Pelodiscus sinensis: one gene and its partners. The protein of the gene in region 4 interacts with the protein of the main gene of each other region in a pairwise test. Links are inferred from orthologs where the notes say so. Each region holds a gene or a part of one and is shown on either strand. Other genes may lie near its edges. The genes, in order: RNF138, DTX3, RNF167 and UBE2K.

Region 1 (7,382 bases), on a different chromosome or scaffold from region 4:
AGATACTTCTAGAAACAGCACAGACGTGTCCTTACCAACATGACCCTGGTCACGCTAGATGGGAAATACCAGTCTAAAGAGTGCACAACCTCCACCCCATTGGTGTAATCTCACACACAGGGCTGGAGCTGCCTGCCCTTCGGAATAGTACCATCCTGTCGGATACCAGACCCAGCCACACCTGATTATATCTCAGTGCTAGACAAGAGACAAACTACCCAAAAAGAGGACTATGTGGTTTTCCTAGTTCCAGGCAGAAGGGACACAAGGACAGGACAATGGGTTCACGGCTGGAATTCTCTTTGCTCTGAACAGCTATGCCTGAATTCTGAGTAAAGCCACCTCCCCCACTACATCCTAGGCCAGGTGTCTCTCATGCCTCCCAATGCTTTCATTGTCTCAGACTCTCGATATTTTGCTTTGTTTCCTACTGCAATTATACTATAGTTTTGTACAGTGATTGATTGAATTGGGAGGCTACATCTATGCTTGGCTGCCCATCCACCCTCTGTATTGCCAGGTTACACTATCCCATCAACCTTAAATGCCGTGCCCTTGCTCCAATGCTTATTCCAACTTCCTCCCTCTTCGTCTACTTTAGTGCATACAAAAATACACACCTAACTCTACTTCCTCTGTGGGAGACTCCACTTACCTTCTCTTCACCTCTAATACAGGGGAATCACCATTTATTTTCTGTTATTGTCCTCACATAACAGCAATGCTTCTCTGCCTTCCTGCCCCAAGACTTCTCAGTCTGTGATCCAGTGCCAGCAATTTTCTGACTTCTTTCCTTCCCTAGAAACTTCTCCTCTGTTAAGGTCAAAGCAGCACCATACTCCCTCCTGCTGCTGCTCTAGGACACATCTCTCTGATCTAGGCCTTTCCCCAAAGGCAGGGCAGGTCTGTGTCCCTAGCCCCAAGACTACTGCACAGAGCTCTGCCCATAAGCCCAGCCCTGAAAATCACTGCTCCACAGGAACTTCTCATATCGTTGTGACAACTTCTGCAGGCACCAACATCCCCTGATTCATAATCAGTTTGTGGCAACTGGAAATAATATTATAACCTGGCCTTCTTGCTCACCACTATCCCAGTGCTGAGGGAGCTGCCATCAATCCCTGTATCTCCCACCCTAGCACCATCCTCTGCATCTATATTCCCCTGCAACTCCTCACTCTTCCCATCCACCTTTCACAGTGCCACTGCCACTCCCTGCAGTCCCTGTGTCCGTCTACCACTTGAACCAGAGTGGCAGCCATTTTGCCTGGTTAAAATCTCACTGGGAATAGTGGAAGTGGAAGCTACCTTTAAGGCTAGACCCAGTTCTGCAAGCAGTTAGCATGTAAGGAAATAGCCATCTTTCTGGCTTCACCCCCTATTGACAGTAAAAGGATATGGTGGCCATTTGGAATAAGGAAAAAATTGTGAGTTGGCTCACTTTTCATTGTTTGCCTGTAGGGTGACCAGATGTCCCAATTTTATAGAGACAGTCCCAATATTTGTCATATTTAGGTGCCAATTATTCACCCACCCACTGTCCTGATTTTCCATACTTGCAGTCTGGTCACTCCATTTGCACGAGACATGTAAAACGACACCCCACAATTGCTAGTCACAATATAATCATGGCCATTGGCCATGTTATTCTCCCATATCACTGCCTGCATAGTATAGTCAAGTGCATACACAGCCCCTCAGTCAACTCACGTCCATCTGGCAACAGGGACTGTCACACTCATCCAAGACAACTTGCCACATTTCCCCAAAACACACTGTAACTGGAAAGCAAGGCTGTTGGGAATGATGGGTGGACACTGAAAAAGGCAGTTCTGTGGCCACTTCTGCCAGGAGAAGGAAGCAGAAAATGGGCGGGATCACCTGTTCAGTTTGTTCCCTCTGAAACACCTGGCATTGGCCACTGTCAGAAGACAGGAAACTGGGCTAGACTGACCATTGGTGTGACCCAGCAAGGCCAAAATTATATTATTGCAAACCATGCTGGCCAACAATGCTAACATTTTCCACCTGCAGACACTTCCATTTTCCTCCTAAGAAATCTGCTCAGCATAGGTCAGCAGTTTTAATTCCGTATTAGATACTCTTACAACTACATTTCTGTACATGGAATATTGCCTGTTCCCTCTCATTACAGCTCAATGGCTCTTCTATACTGGGAATGAGGGATGTAATAGTATAGTCGATTAACCAATTAACCGATAAGATTTTGCTTCTAGGTTAATGCTATAGACTTATGTTATGCTTAAACAAAGTATGTGAGATCTTTTATGGGGGAAAGGCAGTACGCCACATTTAATGAGAATACAACTTGCATATGCTTTTCAATCATTCACACACAAACATAATACACAAACACAGTCCCGCCACACGCTATCCTAGTTACCAGTCCAGAGTCTGTATCAATCTACTGGCCAGCTAGATCAAACACAGAGGAGGAGCAGGGCCTTTGTCGGTTGATCAATCCAATGCTCTTCTGGAGTTGGTGGCAAGACGAACCCAAAGTTCCATAGCAAAGCACCCTGCTTTTATAACCCTTTTCTCTGTTGAAGCTTATGGATTTCGCTGTGTCATAAAACTTTCACTTGACACTTACACCAGGCCTGCACAACATACAGGCTTGAGGGTTGCATGTGGCCCGCAGGGGCTCACTGTGCAGCCCATGCTGACTACAGGCGGCGTGGCCCCATCCAATCCCCTGGCCGGGCGGAGGAGCGCAGCGCCACCGGGGAGGGGGGAAGTGCGGCGATTCTCGCTGCAAGGCTGCATACATGCAGCTCTGGAGCGAAGAGGTGGGGTGCGAGCCAGAGGGTGGGATGCCGGCATGACGTGGCATCATGACGTCACAGCCAGCGACTGCCAGATTCAAAAAGGCTCCAGCAGCCCCACAAACTGGAAGGTAGAAGCCAGAGGGGGAGGGGAAGGGGAAGGAGAAGGGGCTTGTGCTGTGGGAAGGGGGACAGGTCAGGAGAAAGGGGAAGGCAGCAAGGGGCAGGGTGCAGGAGAGACAAATGCCAGGGGGCCAAGTGGAGAGACATGTGGGTTTTTTAGCCCGCGTGTTCAGTATTTTTTGGGAGAGCTGTTTTCTTTGGAGTAATATGGCCCTCGCCACTTTCCAAGTTGTACAGGCCTGGCTTACACGCATTTTCTTCTTTCCCTCCCCCGCCAGTAAATTTTTTAGCAGGCTGGCCAGCAGCCTGGCTCAGTCCTGGCTTACGAAGGGTCCGAGACCTACCCTTGCTGCGGCTCTGCATTTTAATTGTATTAGGAGCTGGGTGGGCAGGCAGCCTGGCTCATGCTGGGTCCAGGACCTATCCTTGTTTCAGCTCTGCACTTCAAATGTATTAAGAGCCAGCCAGGCAAGCAGACAGCCTGGTCTAGGAGCTCAGACCGCCTGCCCCCAGTCAGGGACTGCTACCACCCCATCTCTGCCTCTTTCTCAGAAGCAGCAGCACAGGGTGACAGACGCTGGTCTGTGGAGGGAGCTGGTTTTTAAACTGGCAGACCAGCTCCCACCTGGCACCCCACACTGCTGCCTCTGATACAGTGGCTGCTGGCCCTGCCCCTGGGGACTATAGACTAGTCCAGTGGTGCGCAACCTCTGGGTTGCGACCCCCTTGGGGGTTGTGGTCCTTTGATCTGGCTGCCCAGGGGCTGGGCCCGGCCACGCGTGGTGCTTTGATGCGGCTGGCCGGGAGCTGGGCCCAGCTGTTGGCGGCCGTGCGGCGTGGCACTTTGATCTGGCTGTTGGCGGCCCCCGTAGTGTGGGGGTCACAAATGAAAAAAAGTTGCACGCCACTGGCCTAGTCGACTAACAGATACAATTTCATGAGGCTACTCCACTATTCAAGTCAGGGATATTTAACATCCCTACTGGGAATGAGCTTTCATTTTAGCCATCAGTGTAGCTGTCCCAGCGCCAACCCCTAATACTCAGGATTGTCTCTGTTAGTATTTTCTCGAGTTAGCTTAGGGGAAATATTCCTGGAGCAAAATCTTTGGAGAGGGCCCCCCTGAGCCTTTCCAAAAGCGTTAAGTCCCGCCAGTCAATTACCCACCCAACACCGATACTCCCCTGGGGGGGGGGTTGCACCAATGCCGCTACAATAGGAGGCTGCAATCGGGGTTTAACTCCCCATCGAAGAAGTACAAACGCGGCCCCCTCTGCATTAGCCAAGGTCTCCTTCCGAGGGGCAGTGGACAAGCTCCGTCGGGCAAGACAATGGCTCGGGAGAAGCCACAGCCGGTCATTAAGAGGGCGGGCCCCACCGCTTCCAGGCTGGGCTGGCCCCCGGGCGAAGGCGAGTCCACTCCCAGGGGCCGGGCCGGCCAGCGGCGGGGCACACGGAAGACTGAGCGGGCCGGGCGCCCAAGGCCCCGGAACTGCCGGCGCCGCGTGGGCCCCTCCTTGCCCGACGCAAAGGGGAAGCGGCGGCGGAGGGGCGGCTGCAGCGAAGCGGCGGCGCAGGGCCCGGGCGGGGGCGGAAAGGGGGCCGCGCCGCGGGGGCCGCGCTTGTTGTTTCATAACAATCCCGCCGGGCCCTGCAGGAGGTAATCGCCATGGAAACCCGGCCCGCCCCGGGACAGCTGCGGCGGCGGCCCCGGCTGCAGCATGGAGGCCGCCGGGGGCTGCGGCTGAGGGACCCGGCCACACCGCAGCGGCGGCCCCGCTCAGGGGCTCCCGCCAGGTACCGCGGGCCGCGCTCTCGGCCCCGGCGGTGGGGGAGGGCGCCCGGCGCTTGCTACGCGGCCCGGTCTGACGAGCAACAGGGACAGTGGGGCCTGTGCCAGGGAAAGCCCGAGCCCCTCCCGCAGTCCCAGCCCGGCCGCAGCCTCCTTCCCTGCCGCGGTGCCAGGGCCCTCGCTGCCACAGGGACCGGCGCCTCCCCCGGCCGCGCCTGCCCCTGCGCCCGCTTCGCCCCACAGTGGCCGGGAGCAGGGAGGGCGGGCGGGCTGCAGGGGGCAAAGGGGTGCTCCCCCGCCAGCCCTTCTTCATCCCTCCACGCGGGCAACCCGCTTCAGCCTCATGTCGCTTGAAGTGAGCGAGGGAGTGATCGTCCTCCCCCTTATTCCCACAGAGCGGTCAAGACTCACTGCCATGGCCGAGGAACCTGCCACTGTTTGCTTCAATGAAGAGGATTTTTATTGTCCAGTGTGCCAGGAGGTGTTCAAAACGCCTGTGAGGACAGTTACCTGCCAACACGTGTAGGTATCTGCTGCCCCTGGCCTTCCTGAATGGGCAGTGCTTATTGGGTAGTGGTTAACCATTACCTGGGTCCACCTCGTCATCTCCAGCCTGATCCTGGCCTGCATATTTATTCCTGCCTCTGGAAATTTCCACTACATGCATCTGACGAAGTGGGTCCTTGCCCACGAAAGCTTATGCTCCTACACTTCAGTTAGTCTATAAGGTGCCACAGGACTCCTCGTCGCTTTTGCAGATTCAGACTAACACGGCTACCCCTCTGATACATTACCTGGGAGCAGCCCTGTGACCTGGCATGGGGGGATTGCTCTAGCCCTAGGGGCCAGAAATGGCAGCAGCAGGAGATGCTGGCTCCCAGCCCATAAACCCCCTGTCTCCTCCACTGCTGCTTCTGACCCCAAGCGAAGCAGCCAGGCTGGAGCAGCCCCTGCCCCTGGTGTGGAGGCTGCTCCAGCCAACCATTTAGTTAACATTTAACTGGTTAATCAAACAGGCTTTTACATCCCTTACCCTAATCTGCGGAACTTTCTGCTAGTTCAAAGCATGTCTAATATTTTTATTAGAAATAATAATATAGCTACTTAACCATCTTTGAAGCTAACACAGAAAATATTGACCCATCTAGCTTTTATTTTACTAATGCGTGCTTGTGTTAACTTTGAAATTAGGTTCTGCAGGAAATGTTTCCTGACAGCAATACGAGAAAGTGGAACGCATTGTCCTCTGTGCCGGGGAACTGTGACTAAAAAAGAAAGATCATGTCCCAGAAGAGCCCTGGATGTTGAAAACAACATGAAGAAGCTTTCTGGAGGTTGTAGATGCTGTGAAAAGCAGGTGGAGTAAAGACAAAAGTTACTTATTTGTTACAAGTGAATAAGCTTTCCTTACTTGGGACCTGATCCTTCATGCTGCTATATGTCATTAACGTCCAGTAATTTACAGGGACTAGTACCTTGTAGCATCAAGTCTCAAGTGAGACAGGTGTGCACACACGTGCATCTAAGAATTTGTCCCTAGCTATCAAACAAATTTTGAAATCGGAATAAAGTGGCTGCTGAAATAAAGTTGCATTTTAAGAAAGTTTTAATTTTTTTGCAAAGTGCCAAATTGATGGGCCTCTCCATAAATACAAATAATTGAGAGAAATGAATAAAAAGAACTCTAAAAGTGGACAAAAGAACATGGACGAGAAATGGAGAACAGCTAGAAAATATATCCAAGACCTTATAATAATGTGCTATATTTTTTAAAATGCTCAAATTTACAGTAGAAGAGCACCAAAAAATACAAATAGCAATAAGCACAACCAGTAAACGCTACCATATTATTTAATCTCTCTGGCTTTCACTTTAGTAAAGAGATTGCTAATGTTCAAAACACTATGGGTGGAATCCAGGTCCTCTTGAGGTTAATAGGAATCTTGGCTTAAATGGAGGCAGGATTTCATCCAATAGGTTTTGTTTATATCATACTACCCTTACTCACTCTTGTGTCCGAGGACTGTGTGTGATCCATCATTAATAGTGTTGAGTATGAGGCTTTGTTGTTCATGATCTCTGTTAAAATAAAATAAGACAAGGGAATCTTTTAAACATTGTGGTTTATAAGCTATAAAACCAAATGCTATTTACACTGAGTTGCAACCTGGTAGCTGGAAATAACAAAATCACTTGCATATGTAATTGAGCATACTAGCTGTGGTATGAACCTTTGGACATTTTTCTAATCTCCCTTTAGCTGTCCTGCTCTCACTTGCTTCTATTAAGCCAGTGGTCCCCAACCTTTCGGGCATGTGCTACACGCCTGCGGGCAGCACTGCCCATGCGCCACGCACTCGGGACCAGCACCGCCCATGTGCCATGTGCCCACAGGTGGGGCTGCCCATGCGCCTGGGGCCGGACCGCACACGCATCACGTGCCGGGGGCGGGGCCGGCCCAGATCATTCGGTGGGTGCACATAAATGCCCCGGCGGGCACCATGGCGCCCGTGGGCATCGCGTTGGGGGCCATTGTATTAAGCTCTTTGTCATGCTCAAGGGATCCAGTGCTCCTGCTTGACAATAGGATTCCTTAAAAATGTTAGTTTGAGATGTAACTTACTGCATAAGTGGCAAGAGGGCTTACATCATGAAGTATTATATTATTGCTGAAGGGGAAG
Region 2 (7,454 bases), on a different chromosome or scaffold from region 4:
GCTCAGCTGAGCTCGGAGCCCGGGGCCCAGGTGGGCTCGGTTGCAAACCAAGTGCCTTAACTTATTCTGCCCTGCTGCCTGCAGCGCTGGGGGGGGGGAGGGTGCTGCCGGCGGGGGGGCCTTTGAGCTCTGCCCATCTGAGGCAGAGGGGCCCCCTGGGCCCTGCAATATGCAATACGAGATTTGACCCTTCCGTGCCTTAGGGGGGGCAGAAAGGTTCCTCCCCCATGAGAGTAACCCCACCCCCTTACCCGAACCTGGGGATAGCCACGGCTCCCCTCTCCCATCCAGTCCCCCCATGTGCATCTGCCCTGCCCCCCCGCAGGGCGGTGGTTCTCTGGGCCTGTCCCACGGTGTAATGTATTCCTAGGGGAAATCTCCCGGCTGGGGGGGCGGGGGAGTTAACACTAACTTGCACTGGGCTCCCCGCCCCTCTTCTCACACTACATCCCTGGGGCCCACGGCTGGGCCAGGCTTTGGACCCCAGCTCGGCTGCTTTGGCCAGGACCTGCCCCGTGTTCCAGCAGCCCCCTCCCTCCTGCTCCGATGACACCGGCAGCCGCGAAGTGCAGCTCTGCCTCTCCGCCAGCAGGAGGCGCTCGCTCGGGCAGCGTGTGACCAGCTGGCGCAGGTCCGGGCCCGTGCTGGACAGTGGCTGTGCCTGCCCAGGCTTCCCACGGTCACGTGGAGGGGGAGGGCCTGCTGCTGGCATTTCTCCCACGCCCCGGCCTGGAACCCTTTATCCCAGGGGGGTCCCAGCAGGTGCTCTGAGATTCTTGCCCCACAGGCAGCACTGGCCAGGCCCCAGACAGCAGCTGCTCCTCTCCCCGGCGGGGGGAGGCTGGTGACTGCAGCCCCAGATGCGGATCTTCGCCATGGTGCGCCGGCAGCCTGCAGGGGCGGGGCCCGCTCCTGACACCTGCCCCCGGCCCGCGCTGCGGACACGCCTGCCTTGCACCTTCTGTTCTTGTACACGCGGGTGTGGTCCTGTCCCTGGGTCTGGCTAGAAATAAATTATTGACTGACAGTTGCCTGGCTCCCTGCTCCACCTGGCCCATGACAGGGGGAGGGGTGGAAATGGGGGGTGGGGCAGTGCCCAGCCCTTGCTGGGTGGGGTGGGGGAGGGAGACAGACTGAGGCTTGGGGGCAGCAACAGGGACAGGTGGTTCCTTCCTGACCCCTGCAGCCTGAGCATGAGCTGGGGCTACTGCCACTTGGGGGGAGGGGGAGACTCGGGCACCCCAGTGTCTACACTGGCTCCTCCAGCTGCTTCTGCTGCTAGGGGTGGGAGATAATGTGGGGGGGGGGAGCCCCCTTGCCCTGGGTTGCTGCCTTTTGAAATACCCACCTTTGGTGCCACCTCTTCCTGCACATCCACACCCCAGCATGGTGCTGTTAGGGACTGAGGTGCTGCCTCCTCTGAGCACTGGGGGCATTTCTCCCCCCACCCCCTAGCCACCTGGCCAAGCAGCTCCCAGGGCCTGGCATCCTCTGTAGCCCCTTGGAAGGGCTGGGGTAGGACAGGCCGGAACCCATGACAGCTGAGCTCTGTTCCTGCCTCCCCCCAGCCTGCTGGGTCCTGGGGCAACGCCTGTCCCTGCCTCAGTTTCCCCCTCTGCTGTGGAGCCTGCCTGTAACTTGGGTCGGGGCGTGGCTCCAGCTCCACCTGGGCAGTGCCTGCTGCTATCGGCCCCATCGCCTGTGGGGTGGGACCCCTGTATGTGCCCCACAGCCCGGGCCTGGAGGGGTCTGCGCTGGCACTGAGCCAGCGCACTGGCCTAGCCCAGCTGTGGCATCAGCCCAGCTGCAAGCAAAGCCACCGGCCCCGGCTGCTGGGCTGAGCTCTGGCAGCCGGGGCCACCGTCCCGCTGGGCTGTGCTTCCTGCCCCCCTTCTGTGCCACGGCCCAGCCCCCAGGAGTCTGGGGGCCTGTGATGGGGGTGACTTTCCCTGGTCCCCTGAGGGGCCCAAAGGGGTTGGGTCCCCCCCATGGATTGTGCAGAGACTGATGGACCGAGGGGCACAAATGCAGGGGGGGCTCCAAGCACTGGTGCCCCCCACGTGCTGGCACCCCTGCCCCCCAGGTTCTGTGGGGCTTTGGGCAGGATGGGGGGGTACCCAGTGGGGACTCCAGGGGGAGGCGTGGGCACTGGCACAAAGCCCCCCCCCGGCCGCCTCCTGCCCCTCCCCCCGCTAGACCCATCCCCCCCTCCGGTTTCCATAGCGCCGCCGCAGCCCCCTCGCTCGCAGCGCCCGCCCCGAGAAGAGGAGCCGGGAGCGGGTGGGTCCCTCGCCCGCGCCGGGCCCGCCATGGCCTCGACCATCGCTCCCGCCCCGCGGCGCCCGGGGGCTGCGCGGCCAGGTACGGGGCGGCCGGGGGGCGAGATCGGCGGGGCAGGAGGGCTCAGAAGGGGGCTGCAGGGGCGGGGGGGGCCGCAGAAATGGGGCGGGGACTCAGAGATGGGGCGCAGGGCGGGGGGGGGGCTGCGTGGCCCCGGCTCTGGCTGCACCGGGGGGCGCAGCCGGATGCACAAAAGCAGCTTCCCCGGCGCTGCGGGCCATTGTGCGGGGGCGGGCGGGGGGGGGGGGGGACGAAACAGACCTGGCCAAGGGAGGGGGCGCGCAGCATCCTGCCTGTGGCTGCAGATTGACGAGGGTCGAGCCCGGCGGTGGGGGAGGGGGCCACGGCCTCCCACCCGTGTCCGCGACCCACCCGAGTGTGAGCGGGGGGGAGGGTGAGTCCTGCCGGATGCGCAGAGCTGGGGGGAGGAAGGGCAGGTGGGGGAGGGGAGACTGGGGGTTCTGAGATGGGGGAGGAGAGAAGGGGGCGATGGGGGTCTGAGCTGAGGGGGAGGGAAGGGGGCGATGGGGGTCTGAGAGGAGGGGGGAGAGGAGGGGCGATGGGGGGGTTCTGAGCTGAGGGGGAAGAAGGGAAGGAGGTGATGAGAGCTCTGAGCTGAGGGGGGAGAGGAGGGGCGATGGGGGCTCAGTTGAGGGGGGAAGGAAGGGGGTATTGGGGCTCTGAGCTGAGGGGGGAGAGGAGGGGCGATGGGGGCTCTCAGTTGAGGGGGGAAGGAAGGGGGTATTGGGGCTCTGAGCTGAGGGGGGAGAGGAGGGGCGATGGGGGCTCAGTTGAGGGGGGAAGGAAGGGGGTATTGGGGCTCTGAGCTGAGGGGGGAGAGGAGGGGCGATGGGGGCTCTCAGTTGAGGGAGGAAGGAAGGGGGTATTGGGGCTCTGAGCTGAGGGGGGAGAGGAGGGGCGATGGGGGCTCAGTTGAGGGGGGAAGGAAGGGGGTATTGGGGCTCTGAGCTGGGGGGGAGAGGAGGGGCGATGGGGGCTCTCAGTTGAGGGAGGAAGGAAGGGGGTATTGGGGCTCTGAGCTGAGGGGGGAGAGGAGGGGCGATGGGGGCTCAGTTGAGGGGGGAAGGAAGGGGGTATTGGGGCTCTGAGCTGGGGGGGAGAGGAGGGGCGATGGGGGCTCTCAGTTGAGGGGGGAAGGAAGGGGGTATTGGGGCTCTGAGCTGGGGGGGAGAGGAGGGGTGATGGGGGCGCTCAGTTGGGGGAAGGAAGGGGGTATTGGGGCTCTGAGCTGAGGGGGGAGAGGAGGGGTGATGGGGGCTCTCAGTTGAGGGGGGAAGGAAGGGGGTATTGGGGCTCTGAGCTGGGGGGGAGAGGAGGGGTGATGGGGGCGCTCAGTTGAGGGGGGAAGGAAGGGGGTATTGGGGCTCTGAGCTGGGGGGGAGAGGAGGGGCGATGGGGGCTCTCAGTTGAGGGGGGAAGGAAGGGGGTATTGGGGCTCTGAGCTGAGGGGGGAGAGGAGGGGTGATGGGGGCTCTCAGTTGAGGGGGGAAGGAAGGGGGTATTGGGGCTCTGAGCTGGGGGGGAGAGGAGGGATGATGGGGGCTCTCAGTTGAGGGGGGAAGGAAGGGGGTATTGGGGCTCTGAGCTGGGGGGGAGAGGAGGGGTGATGGGGGCGCTCAGTTGGGGGAAGGAAGGGGGTATTGGGGCTCTGAGCTGAGGGGGGAGAGGAGGGGTGATGGGGGCTCTCAGTTGAGGGGGGAAGGAAGGGGGTATTGGGGCTCTGAGCTGAGGGGGGAGGGGGTTCTGAAGGGTCCCTGTGCTCTGTCAGGTTTTGGCCTGTGTGGGAGACTCAGAACAGCTCATACCCCCCCCCCCCCCACACCCCATCCCACCCGCTCCTTTGTGCTGTGCCCGAGATGCCCTGGCTGGGCTGTTTTCCCCTCCACCCCTTTCCCCCATGGGCCTGGCACCCAGCTAGGCCCAACCCCGCCATGCCAGGCCTGGTGCCCTGATGGGGCCCAATCCCTGTTCCTGCATCTCCCTTGCTGGCCTGATGCCCTGACTGGTCCGACCCCTCTGTGAACTAGGAGGAAGCCCATTGCGGGGGGGGGGGGGGGGGGAGGCGTTGGGCTGCAGCAGGGTCTCATCCCTCCCTCCCCCCACCCTCACCAGCAACAGTGATGGGGCCTGGGGCCTGCCTTGAAGGGAGACCGTAACTGGGGTGCTGGGGGCCAGCCCTGACGCACCTTTCTGGAGAGGGATGCTGGGGGGAGAGGGGGATTGGCTACAGGCCAGACTTGGGTCGGACCCCTGGGGGCAGGACAGAGGTACCAGCTGTCTATGTGGCCAGGCTGGCTGGACCCCCAATCTCCCCCAGGCTGGCAGGGCCCAGCTGGGATCGGGAGCTCCGGCCCGAGGCTGGGAACGCCAAGGTCTTTGCCAGCAAACCTCACACCACCCATGGGGAGGGGCACCCTGCCTCTTGCCCCCCACACGCACACTGCAGAGGGGCCTCAAGGGCTGAGCCCCTGAACCTGGCACCTCTCACCCCAACGCAGGCAGCTGGCCAAGCTGGTTTGCTACCCGGGAGCCCCACACAAGAGCGACGGGTGGGAGGTGAGGGTCCCTTCCTGCAGCAGCCTGGCTGGTTACTGGATGGCTTGTTATTGTAGGGTCTCCTGGGGGCAGTGCCCTGTGTTTATTGCAATGCAGCACTGGGGCGGGGCGGGGCGGGGGGGACGACACCCTGTTGCCTTTGAACGCAGCGAATGGGATGGTGCACACTGGCTGTGCTGTGACTGCCAATGGCATCTGGGGGGCGCCCCCCATCTTCCCCACTGGCACCCTGGCTAGGGAGCAGCACTGAGGCCGGGCCCGTGGGATGGGTCTGGAGTGGAGGCAGATACCAGCTCCCGCACCCACCTTGCTCCCTGCCACACACCACCTCCACGTGACACCTCCCTGACCCCGAGCCCCCCACTCCAGGTCCTCTGCAGTGTCTGGGTGGGCTTGGAGGGCCCCCCAGCCCAGCACAGACCTTGCTGGTGGAGGCAGGACCCCAGGACACAGGGATCTGGCTGCAGGCTGCACCCAGGGGCCCCTCAGAGCCAAGAGTTACCAGGCACCAAGCCACCCAGCTGGGGGGGCCTGGGGTTCAGCCTGAGGGGGCATCGCCTGCTGTCGAGTTAGGAGCCCTGGGGCGGACATGGCATTGTCGTGCGGGGTGGGGGTGGGGCAGCACTGAGCTTGGAGGTCTCTGCCCCGATGCAAAGCCAGGCTCTGGCTGCAGGCTCCGGGACTGAGCAGTGACAGACCCCTCCAACCCCCGCTGGGACACGACCTCGCAGGGCAGCACCCACAACTCATGGGGCTCCTGGGTGCTAGAGACGCCAGGGCTCGGTCGGGGCCTACTGGAACCAGCTAGAGCCAGCCGGTCTGTTTGGAGGCAGCCCCCGGTGGGACTCAGCACTTCCTCCTCCAGATGCTGGTCTCTTCCAGCAGACTGGGAGCAAAACCACCATCCCCTGCACCCTCTGCACCAATTGAACATGCCCCCAGGGCCCAGCGAGCCAGAGCCCTCTCGGTTCTGTATGCCAGCTGCCTCCCCAAGTGCCCCCTCGCATCCTCCAGGGATGACCCTTGCCTGGCAGAGCAGCTTTTAGAGGATTCTTAGCTCACAGATCTGCGGAACTCACCGCCACAGGATATTACTGAGGCCGAGAACAGGTATGGAGACGAGAAACTGGCTGGGTGGGCCCGTGCCCAGTGAGGGTGTGCACAGCTTCACAGGCAGCTCAACACAACATGGGCATGAACTGCCCCATCCCGGGGCACCGACCGAACCCTGAGTCCTCTGGGGTGAGGAGAAATCTTCCTCCATCAGCACCCCCCAGGGAGGAACTGGGCTGGATCCCTCGGGTGGTGGTGGGAAGTCTGTGCCCTTCAAAGGAAACCAATGGGGGGGTTGTTCACACCCCTCCCGTCCGCAGCCTCCCTGTGGAGCTGGAAGTCCTGGGTTTTCCAGGGTGTGTTGCCCGCAGGCCGAGGGCCTCTGGCTGCCCAGCAGCTGCCAAAGGGTGGGTTTCAGTCCGTGGCTGCCAGGCCCGGGGAGCGACTATGGGGCGTACAGGGGGGTCAAAAGGAAAATTGGGATTTGTCTGAATCGGAGCCAAACCCAACGCTGACATTTCCCCGACCCAGAAACACTGAGGTCCGGCCAGCCCCGCCCCCCGCCTACAGCGCCTTCCGCCGTGGGTGCTGGGCTCTGACCTTAGCGAGGGATCCGGCCGACTGGGAGCAGCCCCTTGGGTAAGATGGGCGCAAGGTGCCCCCCAGGCTGGGCCTGAGACCCCTCGGGGCCCTTCTGCCCCCCCCCCCTACACGCTGCCCGAGCAGAGGGGCGGGTGGGAGGCAGACCCGGCTGGCTGCCACGTCCCGCAAGCCCCCACCCCACGGGCACGGCCACCCCCCTCGCCCTCCACACAAAGGGGCTGTGTTTGCAGCACATGGTGCTGGGGGGCATGGACTCTGAGTGGGGGGGGGGCAGACACAGACTGGACCTGCCCTGCACCCACCTGGCCAGCTACTGGCAGACCCCCGGGAAGGGGCCTGGACAAGGGGAGCCTTGAACCGCTGGGGGGGGGTCACAGAAGGAGGGGGGCAATACTTCCGGAGGGGGGGGCTTGCTGAGCTGGGGGGGGCGGGTAAGCGCTGAAGGTTGGAAGGTGGGGGGAGGGGACTGAGCTGGGAGGAAAGTGGGGGCACTGAGCTAGCGGGGGGGGGGGCATGGGGAGAGTCCTGAAGCTTGGGGGGCCGCTGAGCGAGGGGGAGCCCTGAACTTTGGGGGGGGGGGGGTTGGGCTAGCGAGGGCGCGCTGACGCCAGCCGGGCCGATCAGCTGTCGCCGCGCACGGGGAGGGGGCACCCCGGAGCCGCGACTCCGGCAGGCGGGGGGGGGGGGGGGAGGATCGGCGGGGGCGGGGCAGCCGCTGCAGCGCTTAACCCCCCCCCCCCCCCCGGTCTTTGTAGTTCCTGGTTCGCGGCTCCGCTGAACTCCGCGCTCCGGGTGTTTCCTGCCGGCAGGTCCATGGGCTCGCCAGGTAAGTGCGGCCCGGCCCCCCCGCTGCACGGCCCCCCCGGAACCCCCCCCCCGCT
Region 3 (7,759 bases), on a different chromosome or scaffold from region 4:
AGGGGGCTGGGGCGGAGCAAGGAAGGGCTGCGCACGCACCCAACGCTCCGGTGCGGGGCGGGGCCGGAGAGACTGCGACGCGCCGGATAGCACGAAGCGACCGAGGTGCGCGCGCAGTCTGGCCTGCTCCTGCGGGGCGGGGCGGGGCGAGGCGAGGCGAGGCGGGATGGGTGTTGAGCGAGGGTGCGCGCGGTGGGCTAGCCGATTTTGGCGGGAAGGGCGGTTGGCACGGCCGTTGGGACGCACAGCACCCTGCAACGGGGGAGGGGCCAGCAGGGCTGGAGACCGGTGCCCTTCGCCTGCGCTAGTATCCGGGGTCTGGTTCCTACCACCCCCGTCAAAGACACTACTCCGGCATTGGTACTCAGTTCCCCCTCGTGATACTTAGCACCCCCAGTGACAGCCCACCCCGTGACACTCCCCCCCCCGAAATAATACTCCGTGGAAATACCCCACTGGTGTCCCCTCTGAAATAGCACTGCACAGAAATACCCCTGGCCAGGCCTGGGCAGAGGAGGCTGCAGTGGTCGGCCGGTGTCTGCTCCCTGGAGCTGAGGTGCTTACTGTCCCCCTGGGGTCATTCTGGGGGATAACTGTGCCATGTGCTTTCTGCCCTCTGGGGTCATTCAGGAACATTACTGTCCCTGCTATCACAGCCCCCCCCCTTTCCATTTGATGAGAAACAATCACAGGTCACACACATCCCATTGTCCTGGCACAATCAAACCCTGACCTTGTTTTAAGTTCTGATAAGAGGAAGCTGCCTACCAAATGTGGTGGTCCTAGCTCATACCATTAAGAAAGAGTTCTTGAACAGACTCACAGACAGATGTACAGACAAACGCACATTTCTAAAATATATAGTAAGAAGAAGTAGGGATGTTAGAGTGTAATCGATTAACCGATAAGCAAAAGCTTATCGGTTAATGTTATAAACTATATGCATTTCTCCCCACCTCCTCCGCTAGTAAATTTTTTAGCAGACCAGCAGCCCGGCTCAGTCCTGGCTTGCGACAGGACCTATCCCTGCTGTGGCTCTGCATTTAAAGTGTATTATGAGCCAGGCAGGCAGGCATCCTGGCTCAGACCTGGCTCACACTGAGTCCAGGAGCTCAGACCCACCCTAGACCTTTATCAGAGGCAACAGCAGAGAGTGACAGGCAGCCAGTCCGTGAAGGGAGATGTTTTTTTAACTGGCTCCCCTCACAGACCAGCTCCAGCTGCTACAGAGGCAGCAGCATGGAGTGGAAGTGGCATCCTTGGGAGTGAGGTGCACTGGCTGCTGGCCCCGCTCCCCCAGGAACTATAGACTAGTCGACTAACCAATAAGAATTCATGAGGTTACTCAACTATTCAATTAACCGATATTTAACATCCCTAAGAAGAAGATATATGTCCCACATCCCAAGTTGGTTCAGCATCTGCACTACTGAGCACATTCTCAACTCCAAATCAGCAAGCAAGCTGGGCAGATGCTGGATCAGCAAGATAGCACACCTCCTGGAGCAGTCTCAGTGCCCCCCCACAAATTGTGCCAGGCACCTTACATTCCCTCTGACTGCTGTCGCTTGAATGCTGCTACCCCATCTGAGAGCAAGTGCAAACAGCAGCTGAAATTAGAGAAATTGATGTTTGGGGGGTGAATAGTGTGAAAGAAGATAAACGGTGGTTACACTGAGTCTCAGCCCCCCTCCCCCATTCTACTCAGTGCAGTCACTAAAGGCTTGCAAGCAAGCTCTGTTTAAAGTGGGAAATGGGAGTCCCAACAGGGTCCAGCCCCCAGGTTTTGTACTGCTTCCTCCACCTCCCTAGGGCAGAGTGTCTCGCTGTAGGGGAGTCCTGAATGGGGTCAAGATGATCTCCCCCCCCCCCCAACAGCAAAGCTTTCAGGGACAAGGCACAGAGCCCTGTGCTCTCAGGATGCCTAGGGCTCCAAGAGGTGGGACTGCTCCATGAGGTGTGCTGTCTTACTGATCCAGCACCTGCCCAGCTTGTTTGTTGATTTGGAGTTGAGAATGCATTCAGTAGAGCAGATGCTGAACTAATTGGGGATGTGAGACATATATCTTCTTCCTACTATATACTTTAGAAATGTACTCCTATCTGTTTGTTTAAGAACTCCTTAACAGTAAGAGCGAGGACCACCAAATTTGGTATGCAGCCTCCTCTCATCACTGCCAAATGACAGGCCTTGGACATGAATTACAGCAGGGCTCAAACTATGGTCCTGCAGAGTTTGGGACCTGGAGCACTTGCTAACCTGAGTCGAACAGATTTGCCTGTGGACAGGATGGGGGCTTGGGCTCAAACCAGAGTGGAAGCTCAGCTTAGATGCACAGTCCTGCTCATTGCTTCCATGTGGCTTCGCAGCACAGAGACAAGAGAGCCTCCCGGAGGGAGGAAAGGTGCTTTCCTGGTGCTGAGGCATGAATTGCTGCAAGTGCATCTAGCACTAGATGGCACCATGGCCCATGCAAATAAAAAGACCCAGCTGTCTGGGAAGGTGCCCAGTAACCCCATGTTTGTGGTGTTTCTGGTGCCTCAGGTCTCATGCTGCAGCCTACAGTTTCCCTCTCCTAAGGACTCCTGGGCTTTATGCCCATCTCTGGGAGAGTAGTGGGGTCTATTGGAGCAGGGGAAGGAACTGGGAACCAGCACCTGTAGGTGGCAATCTTGGCAAAGTTAGGCCAGATACAAGCTCCTAGAGTGTTTTGTTGCACCGATTTCTCTCCCTTTCTGTGAGCTAGTTGGGAGGGGGAATTTGACTGGGGCAGAAAGTGACACCATATCTGGACTTGGGCAAAGCCATGGGGCAGGTGGGGGGAAAATGAACTCCTACACTCTGAGGCCAGCCCGGTAACCCCCCAACCCCGGCTTCCCTAAAAAGCACTGCCTAGTGGTTTTCCCAGACTCTGTTTCCTTTCTCCATTGGCTGAGCTGAGAGAGACTGTCCTCTCTCTTTCTGCTCCATGGGGCAGACAGGGGCTGGGATCTAGAGAAACAGCAGAGCACCTGGCAGCAAGACGGGTGGCACGGCTGTAAGCTGAAGCAGGGCCAGTGTGGTTACAGATACGGAGCAGAGACCACCTCCAGCAGCACAGCAACAGAGGGCATTGTGGTGGGACTAGAGCTCCTCCCCTCACTGCAGGCGGGAACCCCCTAGAAATTAATCCCTTCTTCCATCTCCAAAAAGCACTCTGGTGGTTTTTGCTTAGCGCCTCCAGACCTGACCCTCTTTAGACTAATTATGTCACTTTTATTATAGACTAGGGCTACGTCTAGACTGGCATGATTTTCCGCAAATGCTTTTAACGGAAAAGTTTTCCATTAAAAACATTTGCGGAAAAGAGCGTCTAGATTGGCACAGACGCTTTTCTGCAAAAGCACTTTTTGCAGAAAAGCGTTCGTGCCAATCTAGATGCGCTTTTCCGCAAAAAAGCCCCGATCGCCATTTTTGCGAGCAGGGCTTTTTTGCGCAAAACAAATCTGAGCTGTCTACACTGGCCCTTTTGCGCAAAAGTTTTGCGCAGAAGGACTTTTGCCCAAATGGGAGCAGCATAGTATTTCCGCAAGAAGCACTGATTTCTTACATGATAGAAATGTAGCCGTGTTAGTCTGGTGTAGCTGAAACAAAATACAGGACAATGTAGCACTTTAAAGACTAACAAGATGGTTTATTAGATGATGAGCTTTCGTGGGCCAGACCCACTTCCTCATATCAAATAGTGGAAGAAAATTTGGCTGTGACTATTTTCCTTCCACTATTTGATCTAAGGAAGTGGGTCTGGCCCACGAAAGCTCATCATCTAATAAACCATCTTGTTAGTCTTTAAAGTGCTACATAGTCCTGTATTTTGATTTCTTACATGAGCTTGTCAGTGTTCTTGCGGAAATTCAAGCGGCCAGTGTAGACAGCTGGCAAGCAGCTGCTTTTGCGGAAAAACTTGCCAGTCTAGACACAGCCTAGGTGTCTTACCATAGCAGCCAGGAGCTCCTCCACCTTGGACCCATGACAGTAGGGTCTGTACAAACACACTCGCCACAAAGAGCCCTTTATCAACATAGCAGACAAGAACCAACTTGAGAGTGGCAGGGAAACAATGCGACAAAACTGGACAACTACACAATTGACCCACTGTGTTCAATTTTTTTGCAGGTGTCTGTGGTATGTATATTCTTCATGCCCCAGTCAGTGAGCTTGCCACACTTATTGCAAACACCAGGGTGAGGGCAGACTGGGTGACAGCAAATGACCTGTACAACAATTGGTAACACCACCGTGCAGCTGCATGAAAATCCCTGCAGACGTTCCTATGACCAGTTACCAACACATCAGGTCCCGCTTGGAGATCAGCAGGGATATGGTGAAGCTGGCTTCCAATACAGTCACACGTGCCATGAACTGGTGTGTCTCAGCCTATCCAGTCTCTGATGCACTGCTCAGCTCAAAGGAAGCCCAGACCACAAATGCAGAGCCGTGTGGCGGTGGTGGCTGGTCTAGAAGGGGCTGCAGATCAGAAGTGAGGACCACCTGGCTCCCAGACCCTCTCTCTAACCCACCAGTCCCCGATCCCCTCCCAGAGCCTGGGAGAGAACGGTTCCCAGCCCCCCTGCTCTAGCCCACTAGCCTCACTCCCTCCCAGAAACGAGGAGAAGACCCAGGAGTCCTGGTTCCCAGTCCCCCCCCCCAAAGAGCTCAGGAGAGAACCCAGGCGCCCGGGTTGCTGTGGGGCGGGGTTGCTCCGCCTCCTCTCGCGAGAGCTCCCTGTTCCCGGGAAGAGGATTTGTAAACAGAAGGTGTTAGAGGGGAGACCCCCCCTTGTTGCAGCTAGCGGGGGGCCGTTGCTCCAGACCCCGCCCTGCTCCAGGGAGAGAACCCTGCTGCTGCAGGAGCCAGCACAGGTCAGTGTGGGGCTGCCCCTACAGGCACCAGCTAAACAAGAGAGGGCCTCTGGGGGAGGGGGGTGCTGCTGCGGTTTGGGGTCAGACAGAGGAGACCATACTCAGCACAGTCAGGAGAGGGAGTAATGCTGGGGCGCCTCTCAGCGCCGGGCGAGGACCCGCTGCGTAACTGGCTGCCCCGCCCCAGACGTGGCTGCATCTCCTTGCCGGGGGAGGGGTCCGTGTGTAACCGGTCGCCCTGGCCCCGAGGTGGCTGCATCACAGGGCTGGGTTGGTGAGCTAGTGCCACCCCCCGTGCAGTGTAGATGTGCCCTGTGCCCCCTTCAAAGTGGGCACTGCTGAGGCAGCAGCCCAAGACTCCCCTCGCACCCCTCCTCTCCCTCCCCCCCCCCCCCGGGGAAAGGGAGTGCAGTTTGCATGACCCCTGACTACGGAAAGAAGACTGGCAGAAATGGTTAGTGGGCACAGCCTAAGTCTGTGACTCAGGACACCTATATTCCATTCTCTCCTCTGCCACTGACCTGTTAGGCAGTTCCTGGCATCTCCGTGCCTCAGTTTTCCTTCCCACTCATTGCCTGTCTCACTGGTTATATTGTAAGCTTTCAAAGCAGGGACAGCCCCATGTGTGTGTGGTGCCCTACTACAGGGGGCCACCAGTATCAATGTAACCCCTAATCTTAGAGGTGGATTGAGCTGTTTCAAAGGCTACTGCCCTGTGGGGCCAGGGCTAAGTGCTCCAAACTGCCAGGGCTTAAATCTCCCCCTGCCCTGAAGTCCTGGCCCTGCCCACTACTCTGTTAGCCTGGTGCTGGCTCTTTGCTCCTGCTCAGCCCTTTCCTGATCTTGGCCATGCCACCTGGAACTTTGCTCCGTGGTCCTCTGCCAATGGCATAAAGAGACCAGCCCTGCATCCCTCCGGCAGCCATGTCACTGCACCTTCTACCAGGGTGGAGCCAAGCACCTCCCAGCCTAGACTGGGAAACAGAGCATCAGCCTCTGATCCTCACCCAGACTTGTTTGGTCAGGTCAGGGTTCCCTGCTAGGGATGTTAATGTTCATTTTAGTAATCGCGTCGTCACAAAAACGTTATCATTACACGATTACTAAAATATTCTCCAGGGGCAGGGCTGGCAGCCAGTGCACTCCTTGCCCCACTCTTGGGGAGCCCCCTGCCACCCCACATTGCTGCCTGCCCACCAGCAAGAGGCAGCAAGGGGGTGTGTGCATATAGTCATTTGGATTAACCAGTAAGCCCAGGCATATTGGTTAATCATTTAAATGACTATATGATAACATCCCTACTCCTTGCAGGTCCCTCTGACTGAGATCTGGGCCCTTGGAGGGCCTGGCCAAGCGCTGACCCCACCTCACAGCTGAGATCTGGGCCCATCATGCTTTTTTCAAAGGGAGTTTTTGCTAGTGGTTGGAGGGTGTTAGGAGCCAGGATTCCTGGGTTCTCTGCCCAATGCTGGGAGGGGAGTGGGGGCTGGCAGCTCAGCAGGTGGAGCTGGGAGCCAGGACTCCTAGGTTCTTGCTCCAGTTCTGGGAGGGGAATGGGGACTGGTGGGTTAAAGTAGGGGGCCTGGAAGCCAGAATTCCTGGGTTCTCTCCCTGCCTCAGGGCGGGGAGTGGGGTTAAATCAATAAGGAACCAGAATGGAGTGGTGCCCCAGCCAAATTGTGTTTGCCACTTGTGCCTTCAGCTGTGTGCCCCACGTGTAAATCCAGCATGGGTTACACCTGAGTTAATCAGCTTCTAGAATGTCAGCCCCTGCCCTGGGCCCTGCAGCATATACACAGCCATCTCTGTCCCCAGCCATGGCATTGCCAGACAGCTGCCCTTGGCCACCAGCTTCCCCTTCTAATCTCACTCCCATTGGGTACAGCTGCCCTCGGAAATGGGGAAAGAACCACGGGGTTCCTGCCCCTCACTTCCTCCCTGCAGCCCTCCTGCCAGCCTTCTCTTCCCCTTAGCCAGAGGGTGGTAGCTGGGTGGGAGTGTCACCCTGGATCTTGCTCAGGATCTGCTGCTGCTGGGAGAAGCCAGGGATGATAAATTGACATGAGAGGATGGGAATTGTTAAAGTTTGTAGCCAGGATCCACTTGGGCTCTGAAGAACTCAGAAGTCCTGGTATGGTCTGTGGTGAAGCTGCACAGTGCTGTCTGTAAATCAGGGGCTGGCTACCCAGAGGGTATAATGCATCTGAGGCCCCTGATTGGTCCCGCCTGGGATCTGGCCCCAGTATCTCCCATGGAGCGATAGCCCATTGGTTCTGGCTGAGCTCTGGGCCCCACTTACCTCAGTGTCCTTGCCCATGGTTACACAGTCTCGTGGGTAATGAATAGGCCCTTTGTTCTATCCACGAGCCCCAGGGCCATCTCCCTGTGCAAACAGGCTGGGATGCAATGGGGGGCAGATCTGAGACTCCCAACAAGGCTTGCTGTGCACTCGCCACCCTGAGCATCTATGCAGGGTCCTTCCTTCCCTCCTCACTGCCAGAAGATTGGGCCAATTTTGACTCTTAGGCATGGGCCTCAGGGTGACCCTGCTGAAGTATTGTTTATGAGGAAGCATTGCAGTGCCCGCAGAGTCCAGCTCCTGAGGGCTACGTCTACACTGGTCCCTTCTCCGGAAGAGGCATGCTAATTTCTAACTTTGGAATAGGGAAATCCGCGGGGGATTTAAATATCCCCCGCGGGATTTAAATAAACATGGCTGCCGCTTTTTTTCCGGCTTGGGGAAAAGCCGGAAAAGAGCGTCTAGACTGGCGCGATCCTCCGGAATAAAGCCCTATTCTGGAGGATCTCTTATTCCTACTTGCAAGTAGGAATAAAAGATCCTCTGGAAAAGGGCTTT
Region 4 (7,590 bases):
GAGCCCCCGATGGGGAGGACTGCAAGACTATTTATTATTTTTTAAGTTTTCTCTGTAACAAAGATGTAGAGCAGGTCTAAGCTACAAATTTTTGCCAGCCATATTTTTTGGGGTGTGATGTGAGGGAATGAGGGAATTAGCCAATCAGGGTTGGTCCTCTGCCACCAGCCTCCCAGGACACTGCACCTCCCTTTGGCTGGCTCTGCTCCAGCCTGCTGCTTGGGCTTGGCACTGGCCCACTTCTGCCAGCTGGTTAGAGTGCTCTGGGGATGGAGCTCCCTAGCTGCCATGGTCCTGCTTCTGTCCTGCCTAGCTGAGGCTTCCCAGGGATGGGGCTCCATGACTGCCCTGCTGCTGCAATGCCCGGCTGGGGTTCTACAACTGCCCCGCTGCTGTGCCGACCCAGGGCTTCCAGATAGAGGCAGCAAGGAGGGGAAGAAGATGGGGTACTTCAAAGCGGCAGTGCTGCTTGAAGCTTGGAGCCAGACCCCGGGCTCCATGTGGCGCTGCCCCAGGTGTCCCCAGGCCGTACGTAGCATTTCAAAGTGGCAGTGCTGTGTGGAGCCTGGGATCAGCTGGGGAGTTCCCAGCTGACTCCGGGCTCAGTGCGACACTGCCGCATTGAAATGCCGCGGGGAGCCTGATGTCAGGCTCCTTGCAGCATTTCATTTCAAAGCGGCAGCACCACATTGAGCCCAGGATCAACTGTGGACTCCCCTGCTGACCTTGGGCTCTGTGTGGCACTGCCACTTTGAAATGCCACATGGTGTTTCAAAGCAGCAGCGCTGCATGGAGGCTGGGGTCAGTGGGGGAGTCCCCCCCTTCTGACCGTAGGCTCCACGCAATGCTTTCACCTTTGAAGTGTAGCAACAGCCCTATGGCTGTTGCTACACTTCAAAGACGGAGGCATCCTATATCAACTAATCAAATAGTCAATGCAAAATGCCTGATAATTAACATCCTTATCATAAACTGTCTGAGTCAGTTCTAAAGAAACCATTCTCTGTGGCACCATTGAGACTATAGGTAATTATTCTCTAATTGTCAGGATACAACATTCACATTGTGCATCATCCAGGAATTGACATATCTGTCCTTGGCTTCTTATACTACCAGAAGAGCTGTGAATTTATTCATTTCTTGGGAGACTTTAATGCCCATGTGAACAACACTTCTAAGAGTGTGATTACACCTTAGCTGGGTTATCCTCCAAATGTATCAATTTATGTTGATATTATCACAACGGTGTGGCCTACTTTTCTTTCATCAATATGGCCACTGCCTCAGCTCTTGCTCCAGCCCCTTTGCTGGCACATTATCTGGCTACACCATAGTTCACCTTTTCTGAGGTCTAGTTCCAAAGTACTATTGTCCACTGGGCAGGTATGTTGAGCCTTCACTTGATCTTTCCAGAGTCTTGTCGTAGAACGAGTAAACAAAATAAAGGTTTCTTTGGGGATACCAGCTCCCTTCAAAAATATGGGCTAAGAGCTCCCAAAGTCCCTCTTTCTTAGGGTTATTTAGGCAAAACAGGCACGTTTTCAGGACATGGTTGTTTTTGCAAAGGGAACTACAGCTGTGGTCACCAACCAGTTGATCACGACCAGTCGATCGCAAGGTGTTCTGGACCCTCCATTTTCCCCCACCCCCAAGAAGCCCCACTACCTACCTCGAGCAACAATGGAGGTAGTGGCAGCTTCCCACGGGGAGGACAGAAGTCCTAAAGCTGCGCATCACTTCCGAGCGTTCCAGAAATGCGCTAGCTGCTTCCTTGCCCCAGCTCCCTGGTGCTCCAGAAACTTACTGGGTAAGTCCCCAGAGGTGTGTGCTGGGACTTCCCTTCTCTGCGGGAGGGGGAGTCAGGCCCGGAGGAGGCGCGTAACGGAGGCTTCCCTTCTCCGTGTGTGTGGGGGTGTGTGTGTCGGCCCTGAGGGGTCGCATACGTGGGTTTCCCTGCTCTGCGGGGGGGGGGGTGTCCGGCGGAGGCACTCGATGGGGCATCCTTCCTCCGCCGGGGGGGGGGGGGGAGAGTGTCGGCCCTAGAGGGAGCACGCAACGGAGGCTTCCCTCTGAGGCTGGTGTAGGGGACTCCCTGTCCCCACTGGCACCCTGCCCCTGAACCCAGTTCCCTCTCCCCTGCCCCCGAACCTTGTCTCCTGCCACAGAACCTTGTCCCTGCCCTACCGCCCCCGTTCCTTCTCCCCTGCCTCCAGCCACAGAACTCTGTCCCTCCTGCCCCCCTGCTGCAGAAACCTGTCCTGCCTCTGCAGAAACCTGCCCCCCTGCAGAAATCAGTCCCCACTGGCACCTTGCCCCCTACTGCAGAAACCTGTCCCCCATTGCAGAAACCTTCCCCCGCTGGCACTCTGCTCCCTGCTGCAGAAACCCTCTGCCCTGAGCCCCTCACATACCCCAACCCAAATTCCTGCACCCTCACATCCACAAGCCAGTGGCTTGCTTAGTACCCCAACTCTGCCCAGCCTAGACCCCCCACCCCAAGCCAGTGTCCCCTTCTCCACCTCCTCCTGCATCCAGATTTCCTCCCAGAGCTTGCACCTCTCACCCCTTCCCGCACCCAAATCCCTCATTTCCACCCCAAAGCCTATACATCCTGTCTCAACCCGGTGGGGGTACAGCTGGACTGCAGGAGTTTTTCAGGATTCTGGAGATATCCCAGAAACACTCTTCTGCATCCAGGGATGCGTTTGTTAAGAACGTAAGAACAGCCGTACTGGGTCAGACCAAAGGTCCATCTAGCCCAGTATCCTATCTGCCGACTGTGGCCAGCACCAGGTGTCCCAGAGAGAGTGGACCGAAGACAAATCAAGCAATTTGTCTCCTGCCATCCCTCTCCAGCCTCTTACAAACAGAGGCCAAGGACACCATTTTATCCCCTGGCTAATAGCCTTTTATGGACCTAACCTCCATGAATTATCTAACTTCTCTTTAAACTCTATTATAGTCCTAGCCTTCACAGCCTCCTCTGGCAAGGAGTTCCACAGGTTGACTACACACTGTGTGAAGAAGAACTTTCTTTTATTATTTTAAACCTGCTCCCCATTAATTTCATTTGGTGTCCTCTAGTTCTTCTATTTAGGGAACTAATAAATAACTTTTCTTTATCGGCCCTCTCCACACCACTCATGATTTTATATACCTCTATCATATCCCCCCTCGGTCTCCTCTTTTCTAAACTGAAAAGTCCCAGTCTCTTTAACCTCTCCTCATATGGGACCCGTTCCAAACCCCTAATCATTTTAGTTGCCCTTTTCTGAACCCTTTCCAAGGCCAAAATATCTTTTTTGAGGTGAGGAGATCACATCTGTACACAGTATTCAAGATGTGGGCGTACCATAGTTTTATACAGGGGCAGTAAGATATTCTGGGTCTTATTTTCTAACCCTTTCCTAATAATTCCTAGAATCCTATTTGCCTTTCTGACTGCCGCTGCACACTGTGTAGAAATTTTCAGAGAACTGTCCACGATAACTCCAATATCTCTTTCCTGATTTGTCGTAGCCAAATTAGCCCCCATCATACTGTACATATAGTTGGGGTTATTTTTCCCGATGTGCATTACTTTACACTTATCCACATTAAATTTCATTTGCCGTTTTGTTGCCCAATCACTCAGTTTGGTGAGATCTTCTTGGAGTCCCTCACAGTCTGCTTCTGTCTTGACTATCCTAAACAGTTTGGTATGATCTGTAAACTTTACCACCTCACTGCTTTTACCCCTTTCTCCAGATCATTTATGAATTAGTTGAAAAGGATTGGTCCCAGGACTGATCGTTGGGGACACCACTAGTTACCCCTCTCCATCCTGAAAATTTATCATTTATTCCTACCCTTTGTTTCCTGTCTTTTAACCAGTTCTCAATCCAAGAAAGGACCTTCCCTCTTATCCCATGGCCATGTAATTTACACAAGAGCCTTTGGTGAGGGACCTTGTCAAAGGCTTTCTGAAAATCTAAGTATATATCTACTGGATCCCCCTTGTCCGCATGTTTGTTAACCCCTTCAAAGAACTCTAATAGATTAGTAAAACAGGATTTCCCTTTACAGAAAATATGTTGACTTTTGTCCAACAAATTATGTTCTTCTACATGCTTCACAAATTTATTCTTTACTATTGTTTCGACTAATTTCTTCTGCTTTTTTAGTGGAAGAGCACACATGATCTTTTGGTCACCCCTATATTCCTCTTTCCATGAGGAATAAAGGGCCTTTCAAAAGAAAGGGTTTTTCTGACATTTGGTCCAGTCTAGACAGGGCAAATGTTGGAAAACCCTCTTCCTACAGAAGAATTAAAACAAAACAAACAAACTAGCAGTATAAAGATTGGGGATAGCAAGGGATGGAGAGGAGGAGAATAGAGAGGGCGGGGCTTTAAGGAAGGGGCGGGGCGGTAGCTCTTGGCTTGGTGTGTAAAAAGGCTGGAGACTACTGAACTACAGGCTTCCCCCGCTCCCTGGAAAGGCCCACACATCAGTCCTACTCCTTCCAGCGAGCGGCCACCAGGGGTCAGGCATGTCCGCGAGCTCTGGTTGGAAGGAGCCCGTTAGCAGCCCGGCTCCCTGGCGCTCGCGCGCGCTGTTCGGAGGCTGAGGCGCTGAATGGCCCTTCCGCTTTCCTCGCTGCTGCAGCCTCTCGAGTTCTGCCGCCCCAACTCCAGCCGCCAGGGGAGAGCCCAGAGCCCGCCCGGCCCCGCTCCGCCGGGCTCTGAGGGAGGCGCGTTTCACCCGGCGCTTGTTAACCCGTCGCTTGCTGAGGCGAGCGCTGAGCGACACGTGCGTGTAACAACACGCCGACCGTGCGGATGACACAGCTGCTTCATCACAACCCAGCGGCCCTAGCTCTGCCCGGCTGGCGGGTGAGGGGTGTCACCGCAGGGACCTCGCGCTGTGCGTGTGCAGGAAAGCGGCTCCTCCCGTGACAGGCCGGGTGGCGGGTGTCGCTTACGGAGCGGCGGCGCAGCAGGGCGTTACCCGTCCCGCCGAGCCAGTGGGACAGTCCCGCGCAGCCCCTTCCCCCCAGCGCGGACCCGCCAGCTCAGGGGCCGCTCTGCTCCCTGCATCGGCTGCCCACACACACACCGTGCTGGCCCCGCCTGAGAGGCGCCGGGGGCCGCACCGCGCATGCTCGACGCGGGCGCCATTTTGGTGGGGCCGGGAATTATCCAGCGGGAGCGGCGGAGCTCGCTGGGCCCGGCTCGGAGGCAGCGGCGTGTGGCTGCCGGCTGCAGAGATGGCCAACATCGCGGTGCAGAGGATCAAGCGGGAGTTCAAGGAGGTGCTGAAGAGCGAGGAGGTCAGAGACTCCCCCCGGCCCTGGCGGTGTGCGGGGCGCCCGACAGTCCCTCCTTCTCCTCCCGCGGCTGGGGGAGGGTCTGTCCCAGCCTCTCGGCTGAGGGGGAGGGTAACGGCGGCTCCTGAGGATGAGGGACCCAGCAGCGGGGACGGGGAGCCTGGGCCCGCTCCGGCAGCGGATGATTCTCGGCGCGGGGGCAGGCCTGCAAGGGGTAGGAAGTGTGGCCGGGCAGCGAGCGAGATGCCTGGACAAGGCCGGGAAACCCCCGGGAAAAGCGCCGCCTCCACCACCCAGTCTGGTTTGGTCGGCCCAAAAAGAAGGCTCAGGGGAGCCTAATAACGGGGCGGGCCGCGCGCGTGTGTGGGGAGGTGTCGTCTCCGGGGTCCCCTGCCCACGGATACAGCGGGAGATTCCTCTATTTTACGGCTGGGGCACTGGGGAGAGGCTTTCCCATGCGACCTAAATGGAGATGGGGCAAAGACAGGATGGGTAAGAACACACGTCCCATTTCATCCAGCTCCCTCGTTAGCCTGTGGCTTATACTGCAGAGTGATACATTGTGTGTGTGGTTTTTTTTTAAATAAAAGCCCATTTAACTAGATTTCCTTAATCCAAGGCTTCCTTTTACCCCCAACATAGGTTATGTCACCTTGGTGTGCATATCTTTAACCCTCTCTCCACCTGACATCCCGGTGCCCTATTAATCATTCTTGATACATTCCCTGTAAGGGATGTACAGTAATTAAGGAAAGGAGGAAGTGATAAAGAACTTTAAGTGTATTTCCAGGGACTATAGAATAGCATTTACAGTGATTGTGTCAGAGTTATTTTCGCTGTCTGTAAATCTGTGTTGGTAAATGTCAGCGAGATAGGTTTTGATGTTTGTGTCATCACCATCATACTCATGAGGATGATGAGGCATGTTGTATGCTTGTGAAATATTAATGTGCAGTTTGACTCTGAAAACCGATGATTTTAGACACTGTACCAGTCAGCTAGATTCATAGTCAGAAAACCAAGATGCTACTAACTTCCTGAGGATTTGTGTTGCTTACAGAAAACATGTTTAGAATTGGTCTAGTTGATGTCCTTCTGAATATAATGTGCTAACGGCATTATTGTTACACAGCTCAAAATAAACTATTCTCCACAAAATCTTAGAGCTTAATTTCTACAGCTATTATGCATGTGATGCTCAAGTTGATTTCAATGTGAGTTCCAGTGTGTAATGATTACAGAACCCAAATACTAAATTAGAACAGATCCTGAATGGTCAGCTGTGTATTTATATGCTAAAATTAGAATATCCCAAAGTGTTTACTTTCTCTGAACAATACATCTTAAAGTTGACTGCTTAGACCTTTATATAAGAGAGCACTCCAAATTTCCCCCTTGTGTTATTTAGAAAGAGAAACCTTGCCATATGCATCAGTGATATAAACATGGTTAGATCTTTTAATTTTCTTAAGACAAGTTTGGGACTCAGGGAGCAATTTTGTTTTAAATTCCTGTTTAATATATGTGCCGGAGATTTTGATTACATTGAAGATAAAAAAGAAATTACTTTGTTTGGGTGAACTGAATTTGTGAATTTTGAGACAACCCTTACTCTTGGCAGGATTCCTGCATCTTGTAAATTAAATATTAAAGAGCATTATCCCCCCATCCCCTCCCAGGATTCAGCTATTTCTATCAGTACATATATAATTACTGTTTATATTACAGGCTTTCATGGGTATTCGGAATACATACTTCTTTGATGTAATTGTGGATGTTTATTACAATGACACACTGATTCTAGATACATGTATTGGGAATACCTTGACTTGATTTTTTTCAAAGTCCGATTAAACTTTTTTCCAGCGGTAGTGTGAAAACATTCAGTATGAGATGTACAGAGGTATGACTAGATATTTTTGTACTTTGGCAATCTGAATTCACAACTTTATCAAGAAAAATTGATTGTCACAAATTATATAGCTAAAATGTGTTTTAATTTAAAATTTGTCTTGCATCAAGGAAAAGTTGCTGATCTTATCTACTCTTAAACATTCTTGGAGTGATGTCTCAAGCCATAGCTGAACATAAAAGCTGGCAATCTGTTTCCCTGCAAATGCCACCAAATGGCATTTGCTACCATATTGCATTTTGGAGAGAGAACGTACAGAGTTTGCCATTTACATTCTTCCAAAAGTGCATTCTGGACTTAGCTAAGTGGGAACCAGCCAAATGCAGTTTTAGAAGAGGATGGAAGAGGGGCAGATCAACAACTTCTGCAAT

What was found.
Region 1: the proteins of UBE2K (region 4) and RNF138 interact in binary tests that used the Homo sapiens proteins (3 or more experiments, as listed by UniProt). The link is inferred for Pelodiscus sinensis from reciprocal best matches to the Homo sapiens genes UBE2K and RNF138.
Region 2: the proteins of UBE2K (region 4) and DTX3 interact in binary tests that used the Homo sapiens proteins (3 or more experiments, as listed by UniProt). The link is inferred for Pelodiscus sinensis from reciprocal best matches to the Homo sapiens genes UBE2K and DTX3.
Region 3: the proteins of UBE2K (region 4) and RNF167 interact in binary tests that used the Homo sapiens proteins (3 or more experiments, as listed by UniProt). The link is inferred for Pelodiscus sinensis from reciprocal best matches to the Homo sapiens genes UBE2K and RNF167.

What each region holds. Positions count from the first base shown.
Region 1 is NC_134712.1:72,524,424-72,531,805, reverse strand, and holds the start of RNF138 (E3 ubiquitin-protein ligase RNF138), read left to right. Parts: upstream 1-4,369; 5' UTR 4,370-4,569; exon of another isoform or gene 4,570-4,706; intron 4,707-5,096; 5' UTR 5,097-5,116; coding exon 5,117-5,223; intron 5,224-5,892; coding exon 5,893-6,058; intron 6,059-7,382. UniProt on the Homo sapiens protein: E3 ubiquitin-protein ligase involved in DNA damage response by promoting DNA resection and homologous recombination.
Region 2 is NC_134729.1:2,734,373-2,741,826, reverse strand, and holds the start of DTX3 (putative E3 ubiquitin-protein ligase DTX3), read left to right. Parts: upstream 1-4,450; 5' UTR 4,451-6,256; coding exon 6,257-6,609; intron 6,610-7,328; coding exon 7,329-7,399; intron 7,400-7,454. UniProt on the Homo sapiens protein: Regulator of Notch signaling, a signaling pathway involved in cell-cell communications that regulates a broad spectrum of cell-fate determinations.
Region 3 is NC_134734.1:8,450,821-8,458,579, forward strand, and holds the start of RNF167 (E3 ubiquitin-protein ligase RNF167), read left to right. Parts: upstream 1-4,742; 5' UTR 4,743-4,902; intron 4,903-7,759.
Region 4 is NC_134715.1:92,844,519-92,852,108, reverse strand, and holds the start of UBE2K (ubiquitin-conjugating enzyme E2 K), read left to right. Parts: upstream 1-4,590; 5' UTR 4,591-5,138; coding exon 5,139-5,310; intron 5,311-5,473; exon of another isoform or gene 5,474-5,488; coding exon of another isoform or gene 5,489-5,521; intron 5,522-7,590. UniProt on the Homo sapiens protein: Accepts ubiquitin from the E1 complex and catalyzes its covalent attachment to other proteins. In vitro, in the presence or in the absence of BRCA1-BARD1 E3 ubiquitin-protein ligase complex, catalyzes the synthesis of 'Lys-48'-linked polyubiquitin chains.